Linked DNA regions of Drosophila melanogaster. The protein of the gene in region 2 interacts with the protein of the main gene of each other region in a pairwise test. Each region holds a gene or a part of one and is shown on either strand. Other genes may lie near its edges.

Evidence for each region. The genes of interacting proteins can lie anywhere in the genome.
Region 1: the proteins of BNIP3 (region 2) and CG7407 interact in a two-hybrid assay, tested with the Drosophila melanogaster proteins (one large-scale study listed by BioGRID).
Region 3: the proteins of BNIP3 (region 2) and CG1636 interact in a two-hybrid assay, tested with the Drosophila melanogaster proteins (one large-scale study listed by BioGRID).

The regions. Positions count from the first base shown.
Region 1 is NT_037436.4:21,821,825-21,825,072, forward strand, and holds CG7407 (uncharacterized protein), read left to right. Parts: upstream 1-1,636; 5' UTR 1,637-1,707; coding exon 1,708-1,839; intron 1,840-1,901; coding exon 1,902-2,276; 3' UTR 2,277-2,747; downstream 2,748-3,248. Other genes in the region: CycH (cyclin H), read left to right, coding at 182-495, 572-773, 833-1,061, 1,117-1,228, 1,287-1,404; eIF2A (eukaryotic translation initiation factor 2A), read left to right, coding at 3,214-3,248.
Region 2 is NT_037436.4:20,514,076-20,521,079, reverse strand, and holds BNIP3 (BNIP3), read left to right. Parts: upstream 1-1,686; 5' UTR 1,687-2,072; coding exon 2,073-2,112; intron 2,113-3,775; exon of another isoform or gene 3,776-3,803; coding exon of another isoform or gene 3,804-3,819; exon of another isoform or gene 3,820-4,381; intron 4,382-4,947; coding exon 4,948-5,219; intron 5,220-5,293; coding exon 5,294-5,355; intron 5,356-5,456; coding exon 5,457-5,636; intron 5,637-5,696; coding exon 5,697-5,748; 3' UTR 5,749-6,481; downstream 6,482-7,004. Other genes in the region: mTerf3 (mitochondrial transcription termination factor 3), read left to right, coding at 340-1,126, 1,186-1,463.
Region 3 is NC_004354.4:8,271,853-8,276,702, forward strand, and holds CG1636 (uncharacterized protein), read left to right. Parts: upstream 1-1,559; 5' UTR 1,560-1,695; coding exon 1,696-1,902; exon of another isoform or gene 1,903-1,954; intron 1,955-2,427; coding exon 2,428-2,774; intron 2,775-2,856; coding exon 2,857-3,356; intron 3,357-3,415; coding exon 3,416-3,510; 3' UTR 3,511-4,349; downstream 4,350-4,850. Other genes in the region: CG1632 (uncharacterized protein), read left to right, coding at 88-267; CG15343 (uncharacterized protein), read right to left, coding at 643-769, 841-1,355.

The sequences.
Region 1 (3,248 bases), 1.3 Mb from region 2:
TTATACGTTCTCAATTTTTGCCAATCTTGCGCTTCTGATTTCCAATGAAATAAAAGTGACTATTGTACGAATCACCCTAATATTTTTTCACAACTGGTATTTTTCTCCGTCCCGCAATCGGTAACACCATGCAGGGTGTCTGAGTTTCGAATCGGCATAAATTCGCCGGCAGCTGAGCAAGATGTATCCTGTGAGCTCGCAAAAGAGGTCCTGGACATTCGCCAATGAGGGCCAGCTCATGGAGTTCCGCGTGGAGCAGAACAGCAAGTACATCGAGTCGCACGAGGAGGAGGCGCAGGGTCGCGACCTCAATGAGCACTTTCTCACGTCGGCGGAGGAGCGCCTGTTGCTGAAGCAGTACGAGATCTACCTGTTCGATTTCTGCCGCCGCTTCGAACCGACGATGCCCAAGTGCGTTGTGGGCACGGCCTTCCACTACTTCAAGCGGTTCTATCTGAACAACTCCCCCATGGACTATCACCCCAAGGAGATTCTGTAGGAACGCTCACCTGAGAGCAGCAAACACCCAGCTGAAAAGCAAAACATTCTAAAAATGTATAAACCTTTTCAGAGCCACATGCGTGTTCGTTGCCTGCAAAGTTGAGGAGTTCAACGTGTCCATCAACCAGTTCGTAAACAACATCAAGGGCGACAGGAACAAGGCCACCGACATAGTGTTGTCCAATGAATTACTGCTGATTGGACAGCTCAACTACTACCTCACCATACACAATCCGTTCAGACCCATCGAGGGTTTCCTGATAGATATAAAAGTGCGATATATATTCACATTTGCTCTCCAGATTGTTTCGTTCATATTGGTTTGTTTCAGACTCGCAGCAATATGCAGAATCCAGATCGTCTGCGGCCACATATTGATAGTTTCATTGATTCCACGTACTACTCGGATGCCTGTCTTCTGCATACGCCTTCGCAAATTGCATTGGCTGCCGTCCTCCACGCGGCCAGCAGAGAGCAAGAGAATCTCGATAGCTATGTGACGGATCTTCTGTTTGTCTCCGCCAGGGAGAAGCTACCCGGACTCATAGATGCCGTGCGAAGTAAGTTTGTGCTGTGAGATGGTGCGCCCAGCCCTACATGCCTTTTTCCCGACAGAAATTCGCATAATGGTGAAGCAATATCAGCAGCCCGATCGGGAGAAGGTCAAGGCCATCGAGAAAAAGTTGGACAAGTGCCGAAATCAAGCCAATAATCCTGATAGCGAACTGTAAGACGCCCTAATTTGTTCATGCATTCCGAATTTAATAACCCTTATACTTTAAAAGCTATAAGGAGCGCCTACGCCGATTGTACACCGATGAGGATGACATGCCCGCCGAAGATGCCTCATTCCACATTGCAGATGTGAGCTCGGACACATCTGCTATGAACATCAGCCAATAGACTTAAGAATATTTATTTAAATGATGTGATGATCTACTACTGCGTGGATTTCATCGATATTAAAGCATTTTGTAATTTACCATTTCTTGATTGTTAAAATGTATGCGTTTAGTGTTAGTTTACTAAACAAAGTTGGATTAGGTACTTCACTTTTCCAATATATAAAATATTAAAAAAAAAACCTTTTGAAAATCCGCTTAGCGCTGCTTGGCAATATTTCGTTCGCAGCTAACGGCCACACTGCGCCCCAAGAAAAACAAGAATAGTGAACTCAGTCACAACAAATAGCAAAAAGAGTTCGAAATGCAGGATTTTCTGCCTTCGCTGGATGTTCTCTTTCTTGGACTACCAGGCCACTACTCGGTAGCGCTGGTCACCCTTCTGCTGTGCGTTTTGGTCGCCTTCTACTTCGCCAACATCTTCAAGGACAAAGGCGTGGGTGTTTTTGCCGGAAGAAGTAGACGTCTCCTGGAATATTTCCTTACATTATCTTGCAGGAACTGGAGGACGAGGGCCTGGGGGCCGACGAGCCGCGCGATGAGGAGGATTCCGAGTCACGGACTCCGCAAGGGGAGGAAACCGACGATGACGAGGCCTACGAAGAGAACTCCACCGAAAGCGAAGTTGAGCTAATCGAGGAACAGCTGCCCGAGCACAGCTACAACCACCTGATGGGCCAGCTCAAGGCCAAGAGGCTCCAGCATAAGATGGAGAAGACCCTGACTCCCAGCCAAATCGAGGAGGAGCGCCGAATAGAGCGCGAGCAGCTGGCGGCCATCTTTGAGCTCCTGCGCAAACAGGAGGCGGAATTGAACCTCCAGGACCGAATAAGCGACCAGGATCTCAAGCAGCAGGTGCGGCTCTATCGCTGAAGTGGCGCCGAGCCTGGGCTCACCCTACCTGAATGTACAGACTTGTGTGATCTATTAGTTTAATGTTTAAAATTCCAAGATTTGGTGTTGCCTCATACGGTCCACTAAGTGCGGGCAAGTCTTTAGTCAGAGAGCTATCTCATCAGTCGATGATGTCGGAATATAATATCTTAGTTGTATGTAAATTATATGTATTCCACTTCGATCTATGTATTTTGTGAGTTCCTGGTGTTATTAATATCTGATTTAGATTTGTAGTAAATGGCTGTTCGGCTCTTAGTCTCTTAAATCAGCTTTCGAATTAAGAATATATGTATATATTTTAACGTGTTACAAGATAAAAACTCGCGATCAGAAAGTGTATAGATTTAAACACAATTAATCGCCAAATTCGTTGGTTAGATTTAAATTGTGTTCATATAACTTTGGATTTATTTGTTCAATAAAGAATGTTTAGCTGTGTTAAGATGTAATATATACTCTAAATATTTCCTACCGTTTCCTAGCCAAATATCCGAAAATAACCGCTCATATTTTATATGCCGCGATTGGATTTTTGAAAATAATTGTTCTAACATATAGATTCCATCAGCACACCTTCGATTGGAGCAGTCGAAATGCTTAGCGTTTCTGTTCCAAATTTTTTAGTACTAAAATGTTTTTAAATTCACGTGGAGCAGATATTTTGTTGGAGTTCTAAATACGTTCGGTTTGGTTTGGTTGATGTTTAAACGTGTCGTTGTGGCGCCAATGCCCATGCATGTTTACTATCGCTTATCGATACACCGCGTACACGGCAACCGTGTGTGACCAATTCAAGCACGAAATCGTTGACCAACACTGATTGTACATCAGACGACACGACAACAAAAACAACAGCAACAACACCACCGACGTGCTTGTTCCTGTGTGTGTGTGCGTGTGAGATTGGAAGACAATGGCTGCAGCTGCGGATCTGGTTGTTCCTACCCT
Region 2 (7,004 bases):
ACAAGGGTCTCTTCTGTTTTTATGCTCCGGAATTTTCACACCAAAATAAATCCAAGATCATACCTAGTGTGACCGTGGTGGTAACCGTTAACATATACCGTCCGATTAAAAATTATACCAACAATTTGCAATTTTATATATATCTTCATAAAAAAACTAAAGAAATCAGATATTAGTAGTGCATTTTTGTTCAAGAATATCCATTTAAAAACAAATATGTTTTTATATCAAAATCATATTCAAAATATAATTTTAGCTTTTTCTAGCTAGCATGCCATATTTAGAAACTTTGGCAGCCAACTGCTGGTCACATTCGCGACATCTGGCAACGCCTCCAGCATGTTTTGTTCAGCTCTACGTAACATTTTGAGGAATTCACAAAATGCGGCTAAAAACGCAACAATTACCTCACAAATACGAAATCTGCGAGGACAACAAAGTGTCCACCATGAGGTAGAAGTGTTAACATCACCGGGTATAACCACCAAACAGAATGACAAGAAGACCGAGCCTGCGGAATGTGAAGGCTCCAAAGAAGTGGCTCTGGACTTCCGAAATCGGGAGGCCCATGTGCCTTCCTTCAATTTGGCGGCCTATGTGAACAACTCGAGTACCCTGCAGCAATTTCTCAGCTTGGGAGTGGATCTGCACAGTATTGAACGGCGAAAGGGATTGGGAGACTTTGTACTGAAGCTGGATTTCGAGAAAAATGTGAAGCCCTACATAACGTTCCTGGTGGATCAGGGCGTATCACCCGATGACTTCGGCAGGATGTTCACCAAGAACCCGCTGCTGTTCAAGGAGGACTTGGACGATCTGCAGACCAGAGTGAACTATCTAAAAAGCAAGAGATTCTCGGACGAAGCCAGGCAAAGAATTCTCACCCAGAATCCTTATTGGCTGATGTTCTCCACCAGGCGAGTGGATCGTCGATTGGGTTACTTCCAAAAGGAGTTCAAATTGAGTGGTCATGATCTGCGACTGTTGGCCACCAGAGAACCCAATGCCATTACCTACAATATGGAACACCTCCGCAAGTCTGTGTTCACCCTTAAGGAGGAAATGGGATTCAATGCCAAGGAGCTAAGTGACCTGGTGGTACGAAAGCCGCGCCTCTTGATGATTCGTAAGTCTATCTACATTCAAAATTAAGGACATTTGTAATTAAACAACTTATCCTTGCAGCTCCGGATGATCTTGTCGAGCGATTTAGTTACATTCACCAGGATATGGGCCTTCCACATGCCCAGATTGTCCAGTGCCCGGAGCTTTTGGCCTCACGCGAATTTAGACTGCGGGAACGTCATGAGTTCCTGAAATTGCTTGGAAGAGCGCAATATGATCCGCAAAAAGACCTGTATATATCGCCAAAAACTATAGTGGAAGGCAATAACTTTTATTTCGTCCGAAATGTGGCTAAAAGTGATTTGGAAACATTTGATTTGTTTTTGAAAACGAGATAAGAATAAAATAAAAGTAAATGTATATATACTTTTCATATTCATATATGCATATGCATATATTTTCAAAAGTCAACAGAAACCAAGTTTTATCATTTTAAAAATAACCACCAATAAATTTACTTGATACAAGGGATGCCAGATGTAGGAAAACATAGACACGCACCTGGATTGCTACCGTTTCTCCATCTGGTCACACTGGACAGCAACAAAAGATTTAAACTACGCATTAAGCTTGTGCGTAGAAACGAATCGTGTTTAATTTTAGTTACAAGACAGTCGCTTCGGGAGAAGCATTAAACAAAGTTGCAATATTTCGGAGCTCCAGCGGTTGGCTTCAGTCCGAAACCAGTAGTTATAGTCAAATCGAGTGCAGCGGCGGAGAAACAGCGCCAAACGAAAAGTAAAACGCATTTTCCTACGCATACATAAACAGCAAAAGCGAATACACAAACACAGGCAGACATACGGAAGGGCCAAAAAAAACTTGGTCAAACTCACGAAAGAATAATAGAAATAGTTTAACTTTAAAGCGAGTTAATAATAAGCAATAAACCCAAGTTATCTTTGGTGTTGACGTGTTGAACACACATACCGATAAACAAAAACAAAATGTCTACGACACCAAAATCGAGCGAAGATTTGCTGGGCGGTAAGTTGTTTGTTTTCGTCTGCTTTGCTCTTTCATTCGTGTTTTTTTGCGTCTCCCCTTTTTACAATCATAACAATAACATGGTAACCCGTTATGCCGCATTGTTGTTGTTGCGAGAGTATCTAGACATGTGTATGTATTTATGGAGTTGTTTGCAATTTGTTAGTATCCGCATCCCATATTTTTTCAAGGCTTTGCGTTGTCTGCTTTTTGATTTCTTTCTGCTTTTATTTGTTTACTTTGCACTTGTTCTTGCTCCGCAGAGGGGGCGAGAAAGAAAGAGAGACAACAAAGAATCCGCAAAACTCCGTATGAAAACAAAGACAAAGAAGCTGCCAACGCACTCTTTCTCCCTCCGCTCTTTCATTCATGTCATGTCTTGTTCCTTTACTTTGCACTTAGCACGCTTGACGTCAGTTGTGGTTTACTTTTTGCGCTCCCCATTTCCCCGACCCGGTCTTCTTCTTCCGTCTGGCTTGCTAAAATAATTCGTAAATAAATACATTTTGTGGGAGGGCATTTCCCTATCGGTCGTTTCCAGAAATTGCGCCTTTGGCATATTCGCTTCAATTGTATTTCGGCTGCCCACTTTATCAACATCCACGTTTACACTCGCGGAAAAACTAGGTTATATAAATTTATACTCATCAACGTACTTGAATGTGTTTTTCAAAATCTCTTAATTTTATGAAAATCGTATGATGGACAATATTCAATAAATTTTCTTAGGAATTGCACGAAATGTTGAAATATTTTGTTGACATAAAGTATAATCTTTTTGGTTGACTGCTTGAAAGCACTTTGTTTGTTTGTCGAAAAGGTTGTTGACTACCACAGAAATTATACTACAATTCTGCAAAGTCACTCACAAAAGTAATGCCGGACGAAAAATTTGTTTTTCAATTTACTACCATCCAAGCAGTATTAATCTAATCAGTTTTAGCCCAAATCGAACCATATGTTATGAAATACATCACTTTTGAAAGGTTTGACACAGTTTGGATGTGGAATTCCGTTATCAATGATAGCATATAAATATTATTCATATGTATTTCTATACGTTTGAATGAATCTGATATTAATCTTTTAAAGCTAAGTATGTACATATGTATATGAAATAAGTGTGTAAGTAATGCGCCGGCTTGATCTGTTTCTTGACCTTAAAACACGTGCGAAATGAATGACCAACTTAGAGAAACATTTTTTCTTTGTGCACTGTGCCATATACTACGCAAGAAATCGTATCATGATACCGAGGAGTCATCCATCCAATAATAAAGGCGGTTCAATGGGCCCAACTCAGGGTCTTTTGGACAGCTGCGCATCAAGATGCACACCCGACAAAGCCCGAAGAGGGTAGGGTAGAAAGAGAGAGAGAGAGGGGGAGTGATTGTTAGAGAGAGACGGAGGGTGGTTGGCCGAAAGAGAGGGAGAGAGGCCTACGTGCCGTGAGTCACAAAGCCATTGTTTTTGTTTTTGCCACCCTTCTGTGCACTTTTGCTTTTGTTTTTGTTTCCATTTTCGTACCTGTAACCCGGATTCCCGATAATGCTCCAAATATTGTTTACCTGTGCAAAACTTCTGCGTCTACCTGACATACGGGCATTTCCATTTTCTATTTTCGCAACATTTCCATCATAAATGCATCATCCTTTTCGTCTAGACGATGCATTTAGTATTCAATTGTCAGCATGATTGGTGTGCCACGTGAGTGATCTGAATTATTCTGTAACTGATTCCATCGCGAAAGTGTCTAAATTAGATGATTGTACAGTGATAACTCGAGAGAAAGCAATACCAGGAAGATTTTAAATTTATAATGTGACATTACAAAATTATAGAAAAAATTAATTTTAATTAATTAGAAAGTGAATAATAGATGATATAAGAGGCGTTGGGTGTGATCGTATGTGTGATTATATATATGCGTATACATGTAATCAGTTGGTTGTATTATTAGGTAGTTTTTAGGAACGCTACACTGTACTCCTTATCAAGTAACTTGCACGCTTCTCGTGCCCATATTGCATCGCCAGTTTGTCTTTTTTCTCGATTTGTTTTGAAAATGAAATTTTCTCCGTAGAGCATTGATAAGCATCGGCTTGTATAGACTATAAACAAAACATGTGTGCTGCTTTATATACACAGTATGCCGAAAAGAAACGGAAATTATGCGAGTGGTGGGGTTTTTAGCGTTATCAATGGGGCACGAGCACTCGAACAGATATATACAAGCACATACATTGCAGATCCGGCTAACGAATCGAACGTATGTATGGTTAAAATGTTTTTACGTGTAAACAAAAACGAAGACAAACGCTGAAAGGGTGACGATGGCACATTTTTAGAGCCGCTGCCGCCGCACAGTGGCTCTCAAACTGCACGCCTTTCTGAGTAAACAAGTGAAACTACTTTATTTTGTCAGCAAGTGTAATTTTAGACAAGGGATTACTTTAAACTGACGTTTATCAGCTTAGAAATAAATAAACTGTTTCATAAATAAACAGTTAAATAGGGTTAAACCATTCAAAACTTAAACATCGTAAAATATTGATATGTTCTGTATGAAAATTTCTAAAATTAAATTAAAAATTGTTGTTAACGAACCTAGAACGTTTTCGTTTGTATAAATTCAATAAAGAACGTCATAACGCACGTCTGTGTTTGGACTTCTCATGTTTATTCAACACGCCCCAAAAGGTTTCGACCCTCGAGCCTGTGCTATATTTAACCACCTCCAAATGCAACCAACTAAATATTTAATTTCACCCCATTTGGCTTTAGCTTTCACCCACTTTGTTCGCCAGTCTATCATGCTAATGATCTACTTTCCAGAATCTTGGATCGAACTCAGCACAACAGCTGCGATGGCTGGCATCAAGAGCCCCGACAGAATCACTCCGTTGCCATTCAACAATGGCGAGGAGTACCTGAGACTTCTGCGCGAGGCCCAGCGCGAGTCGAACCAGTCGAGCCGTGTCGTCTCCTTGGCCAGCTCCCGTCGTGATACGCCCCGTGATAGCCCCAAGAGTCCACCGAACAGTCCCCAGTCGGAGCTCTGTCCGGATGATGAGCTCAGAAACGTGTACATCAACTACTGGACCAAGGTAAGAGATGAGAATCGAGGCGGAACCGAGGTGATCTTGCTAACAATGCCAGTCTCTGTTTTTGCTTTTGCCAGGGAGGAGACAAACAGAATGCAGGCAATGAAGATTGGCTGAAGAACTGGAATCAGCCACCCAGGTATGAAAGTTTATTTAGCTAAGTTTCTAGAATCTAGAACTAAGTTTGGAGCATTGCGGCCTTTTACCACAAATGGTCATTCATTGAATTATTATTTACAGTAGCTGGAACATTGAGGATTCAAGTCGGGATGCCGGCGACGAGGGCGAGAAAAAGAAGACTAACACAGGCTACTCCATCCGTTTGAAGCGACTGGGCTCCAACTCGTTGTTCTCCCGCGAAATTCTGTACTCGCTGCTGGTGACCAACGTCCTGTCCCTGCTGCTGGGAGCTGGATTCGGGTAAGGGTCTCTAGCAATCTTCACCAGATTCACATTTCATGTAATGGTATTTATTTATAGGCTATGGTTGAGCAAGCGTGGCATACTCCTTACCCGTGTGGTCATTGACTGAAAGATGCCATAAACAAAAAGGAGAAAGAGGAAATATATATAATCGTTTTCAATCTATCAATATGCACATCAATCGAAAACAGAACACGATGCGTTCCATATAAGAAAACGAAGTATACACATCTATACAGCCAACCGTATTCCAACTCATTTGTATTTTTATCGGAAGTCTATATTTTCGACACCTTCTCATTCAGTACATACCTATAAAAATGTAATTTCTAATTACTAAGCCAGCAAACTAAAACAGGCCTTTGGGCAATGGTTGAAACTAAGCGTTTTCATATTTTATATAATTTTATATATTTAACATTATATCAAGGCAGCAAATCTAATGATACAGAAAAGCATTTATAGATGCTCCATATATTTTGCTTTAGCCGTATGTCTTAGCACCCAACCGTGCATTATATCCAATACAAATGTACGCCGAACTTCGTGTTAAGAATTTCAATTTCATCATCATACATCATATAGAACAACCATAAACATTTGTAGACATATTATAGTTGAATCGTATTGTATCCTGATTGTACTTTTTGTTGAACAATCGTCAAATGTTTCGATACAATAAGCATATAAGAAAAACGATACAAAAGGAGAAAAAAAAACAATATGGCACACATAAGATTATATCTTTAATGTGAGGGAAGGGTTATCCCCCACACAAAAAAAACAGAATAGTTGTAATGATTTTTTATATTAAAATATTTTTCAATATCTATTTAAAAGAGCATCTGCAAACATTTTTCTTTGGTGGGTTTTACGGAATTGCAAGAGATGGCTTAGAAAGTTTTGAGAATTTTATAATCTTGGAAAGACGGATTAGTGAGATGAAAGGGATTTTCAGGGAAGTGCTGCAAGGTATTTTGAGATGCCTTTTGTCTAAAAGGCATTCCCGGTGCTTGTTGTTGAATAAGTCGCCTGTTGTTTTGAAAATCGCTAGACGTGTACCTGTTCGCATTATCAAACTGTTTCACATAAGTGAGGGCTTGGATTACCTTTGTGTATATAAAGGGAAAAACCCGCTATTTGCATTTCGCCATTAATATTTTTTTGAGATTATCAGCAGTGAGTCAGTATAAGCGATAATTTCATCATAATGTGCTAATAGTCAACTAATTTTGTTAGTTGATCATTTAGACTTGTTATCAATTGCCAAGCGAATGCAATATCGATACGAACTAAACTGCCGCCCTTTAAAGTGCATAAACTAACTGTTTTTGAGTTGCTTTAGCAATTGTAATTTTATTTAAA
Region 3 (4,850 bases), on a different chromosome or scaffold from region 2:
CAAAATTTAAACTATATATCATTTTTTAGAGTGGACCAAAATTATATTTTATTATTATATTTTGAATTTCATATTGTTCATTTTCAGCAAGAGGAGTATTCGGGAGCGCCTGTCCAGTGCCTGATTCCCGGAACGAATCAGTGGGCGCTCATTGGGGTCTCCTCCTGGCGGATCGCGTGCGGACCCACGGGCGTGGAGCGGCCCAGGATGTACGACAAGATCGCCTCGAATGCCGCCTGGATCCGCGAGACGATCAGCGCGATATAGTCGGGATAGTTCACCAGGGGGCGGCGGCACGCCCCTCAGCGCATTTGTGTAGAAAACGGAACCGAAACTCACTGGGTATTATGTGTGTGTGTAGCAAAGCAAGTAAGGCAATTAAGCATATGTACTATGTAACTAACCTGCTCTAATGTTACTCGAACCTATGTAACTCTATGCTAACTGTATTCTTTAAACGTCCTTTTTTTTGCTGTTTTGTGTAATATTTATTAACTATGTTGTAATTGTATGTTAAACATGTCGAAAAGGAAGCAAATTTAGTTGTTAGTCTGTACGTTTAGCTGTTTGTAGAAAGATATTGTTGAATAAAATGAAATCGTCCAAAATCAAGATAATGGCTTTACTGGGGGTATACCACAATTAGGTGGACACGTGCATGGATTTCCATTTCCCATCCTTCTGAAGGCGGTACTGCACCCGGTCTGCGATTTGGTCGAGACCCACCTTCAGGAAGTCCCAACGCTGCGGTTGGAATTTCCAAGCGGTACTAGAAGAAGTTGTAATTATGTATATGTTAATTTACTAAATATAGATATACATATAAACTTCGAAACTCACTAGCTTGCTGGTCTCTCGATGGATTTTCCTCTGTGATCCAGAAGGAACTGATCGTGCTTTGCCTTGAGATCATCGTAGTTAATCGGTTCTCCACAGGGACAGATGTGACCCCTGATTTGGGCAGCCAAATTCTCCTTCGCCCACAAAGCATCCATTTCGCTTTGGTCAAGTTCCACGGCGGTGGCTCCAATCAATCTCACCTGCCAGGCATTCTGATTTCCGGCCTTATCCTTAACATCTGGCATATAGAAGGTGATGCAGGCCTTGGGATTGGCCTGAAGGTTCTTGAAGTTGCGAACGTACCGATGGGTGATGTAGAACACACAGTTATCCTGGGTGAGTCCGCGGTACAGAACAGTGCGGTTGAGCACACCGAATTCCTCGTCCACGGTGGCCAGGTTCATTTCCTGTATGAATCCATCGGGATGTCCCTTGGCAGCTTCCTGAAGGATCTCCTTAAAAAATTCAACGGGATCGGAGGGAAAGTCCTCGATTTTGGCCAAAGAGGAGGTCATATTGGTGGGTCCTTGAAGCGAAAAATATTCTTATACATTTTGAAAATGTAATACACATTTAATGTTAATTGGTAAAGCCCCTTATAACTGAAGTAATGTACTGTCATTCAAATTTGGCGCACTTTGCGCGCTGTTAACGCTAACAGCACTGTAACAGAAGCGCAGTACTTTGCAGCGGTTCTATAATCGATAGCCGTTGATTTCACGTTATATTTGCGAAGCTATCGGTTACTATCGATACATAGAAACGAAACAAATTCTCCCAATTTTCGGCTGAAAACGAGGAACACCAACTCGCGATTCTGGGGCGGCAGAACGGGAAATCCCGCCGAGGAGCAGCATGACCTCCATTCTGGACATGAAGGCCGGTCCGCCCGACTACTGGGCGGAGATCAGCAACTTCTTTCTGCCGCTGAAATACCTGATCACCAACGACCGCTTCGATTCGATGGTGCGGGACATAGACCTCTATTACCTGATCAACGGGGTCTTTTGGATATTCGTGGCGTTGTCTTGCGGCTACTACGCCTTCCAGCGGCTCTTCCAGGTGGGTCCAGCACGTGGCAAATCCTTTCAATCGCAGCACCCTCGACGCGGCGCCTCCAATTGCACTTTTCTTTTGAGGGGTTGCTCGGCCAATTTGCCGTTTATAAATAAACAGAGCGGACACGGTGCCGGATTCGCGCATTCCGGGGGTGGACGGGGTGCCAACCGAGTGGGGCGCTAAAAATACTGTTACCAACCCTTTGAAAAGCTTCAAAACACAACGAAATGCGGCACTTTTTGTATTGTTTTGGCTTGCAACTAAGCTGTAAATGATTATTATTTAAATATGTTGTCTCTTGTAAAATCAATATAAGGCGAAGATAGTATTGATTTTACTCCCGACAGTCATTGTTTAAGGGATTCAGATGTACTTCCTTCCCCATTCGGTTGGCACTTCGCTCCTGGCTTTGGTGATAGCATAAGTCCGGTGACAGTCGACCCATCGGCGCTGACCATAAGCCATATAAACCATTATCTGTAGTGACCCAAGACCAATGCTCGACTAATTGCTCCTCTCCCTTTTCAGTTCTTTCTGAAGTCGTCGAGCATGAAGCACTTTCAGCGGAGGCTGTTCGCCCGCGTCATTTGGAACATCGCCTTCTATGCGGCCAGCTGCCTGTTCCTGCACTTCTACAACGAGTTCATGATCCTGCCGCAGCTGATGAAGAACCAAGGACGCTACTCGCTCTTCTACTCCTCGGAGAACCTGATCTTCTATCGATCTCATCAGGCGGAAAAGTTTCAGTTCTACTCGATCTTCATTATCACGTTCTACCTGCATGGGGCGTGGTTGGACTTCAAGGACGCTGACTTCCTGGAGGTGGGCTCCAAGGGACTCTACCTGCTGTCCCTCGTCGCCATCGATGTTTACAGGCAAGTCGAGACACGTTTGGTCCCTACCATTCTAGCCTGGAGCCATTTAAGCTCGAAAATATTAAATACTCTTTATTTTTAGGTACGAAAACTACTTTGTGGGCCTGAATCTAACGGTGGGTCTGTACAGCATACTCACCGAGGTGCTAGCCCTGTTGGTCCTGCCCAGCACCAATTCACACCGGATCATCTACCAGGTTTTCCTCGGTCTGCGCATCATGGTGTGGGCGTATGTGTTTGTCAACCTACTGCCCTTTAAGTACTTCATACCCACGCTGTTCGCCAAGAACTTTAAGCTTTCCCTGAATGTGCCCATTTGGTTGTGGTACGGCCTCTCCATTTGGAACTCGCCGGTGCTGCAATACTTCTACCATCAGATATATCACACAGCGCCGTCGGATTGTTCGGGCGAGGGATCGGCGGCTAAGTGCATCCTGGTCAAGGACACCAGTGAGTTCCGGCACTACAAGACACTGAAGAAGGCCTATTTGGAGGTAAAGCTGGCACACATTAGAACCACGTCCAATTCGCTGCCCTCCGAAACCAGTTCGGCCTCGGCCAAAACCTTTCAGGCCATAAAATGTAAGCTTCCTGCACTAACCGATGTTGAATATCTGATTAACAATCATTTTCCCTGGCAGGCGTCATGATGCTTAAGCGCAAATTGAAGCGAATTCGCGAGGGACGTGGCCATGAGCCGGAGGATGACAACGATGACCAGGCCATTGATACCTAATCGCGTCCTACCGCACGGACGCAGCACACTTTTACACAGTAGAAAACCACATTTCCTTAAACCAAACCAAAAAAGACACAAGTTCAGCTTAGGCTAATAACTCACAAAGTTGAAACTAGCGCTCTCTCTCTCTCTCTCACTCAGGCTGATTTCGGTTTATGCGTGTTAGCTAGAACGCGATCAGCGCGAACAGTGCGTTTTGGCCAACATTCAGATCGTAATCAAAAAATAGGAATATTTAACACTTGAAAATTTGTAAATTTGTCAACGTTTTTGTTGTAAAGACTTTAAAAATATCAGTTGGTAGCTTTTAATCAAAAATTATTTAAATATCTCAACGATTCAAATATACGCGTTAAGAACATAACAACTAAAGGTTGTCAAAATTAAAACATGAATATAAACGATAAATCAAACGTGCAGATAATCTCAAAGGCTATATACGCAAAAATCGAAAAGTGAGGCTTACAAAATTAATCTCCTAGAAGTATTTAAAATAATGTTATATATCTTTAAAACGTCGAATTCGACTGTTGCCAAACGCACTGTTCTAATAGTACTTATTCGATAATAAACCACAGTGCGTTTCGATGCGAGCAATACAACAATTGACGCACTGTTGTCACTAGTTAACAATTATTTATAAAAACTCTAGATCAATATTAAATGTAATATCTACCAATCACGATTTAGACAGCACGCATAAACCAAGCGGCTGAAAGACCTTAGCAAATTTAGTTAGTATCGCTCGATTTTTGGCGCCAACGGAGATCGTCGCTGATGATATATATACATATAGTTACTATATCTCTATACCAACTCTCTCTCTCTCTCTCTCCCTCGCACACACGATCGCAGTTTCTCTCTCGTTTAGATTTGTAAGTCGCCTTCAACTTATTGTTGTTGTTTATTCGCTGTGACTTAATGACATATTGAAATATTGTAATGTGTTGTTTTTTTTTTCGTTCTTTTAATTGAAATATACTATATATGGGCTAAACGAGCGCAATTGAAATGTGTGTGTGTGTTGTTGTTGTTGTTACTGGGTTGGTTGCATTCGTTTGTTTTATTCACTTCTTAGCTCTCCCATCGTGGCTGAAATATTATATTATATTATTAATGTTCTTGCTTTATTTGATATTTGAAAAGAATTCTCTAGTTAAATTTCGGTTTCTCATTTGGTTTTAGGTTTCGCGTTTCTTCCTTCGAAACTTTGTTTTTGATATCCTTGCAATCGTACGTTCTCAACATGAATTCTCATTTGCTCATTTCATAATCGGAATCGATTTTAGAACTGTTTAATTGTACAACATATTTACGTATTAGGTCTGTAAACTAAA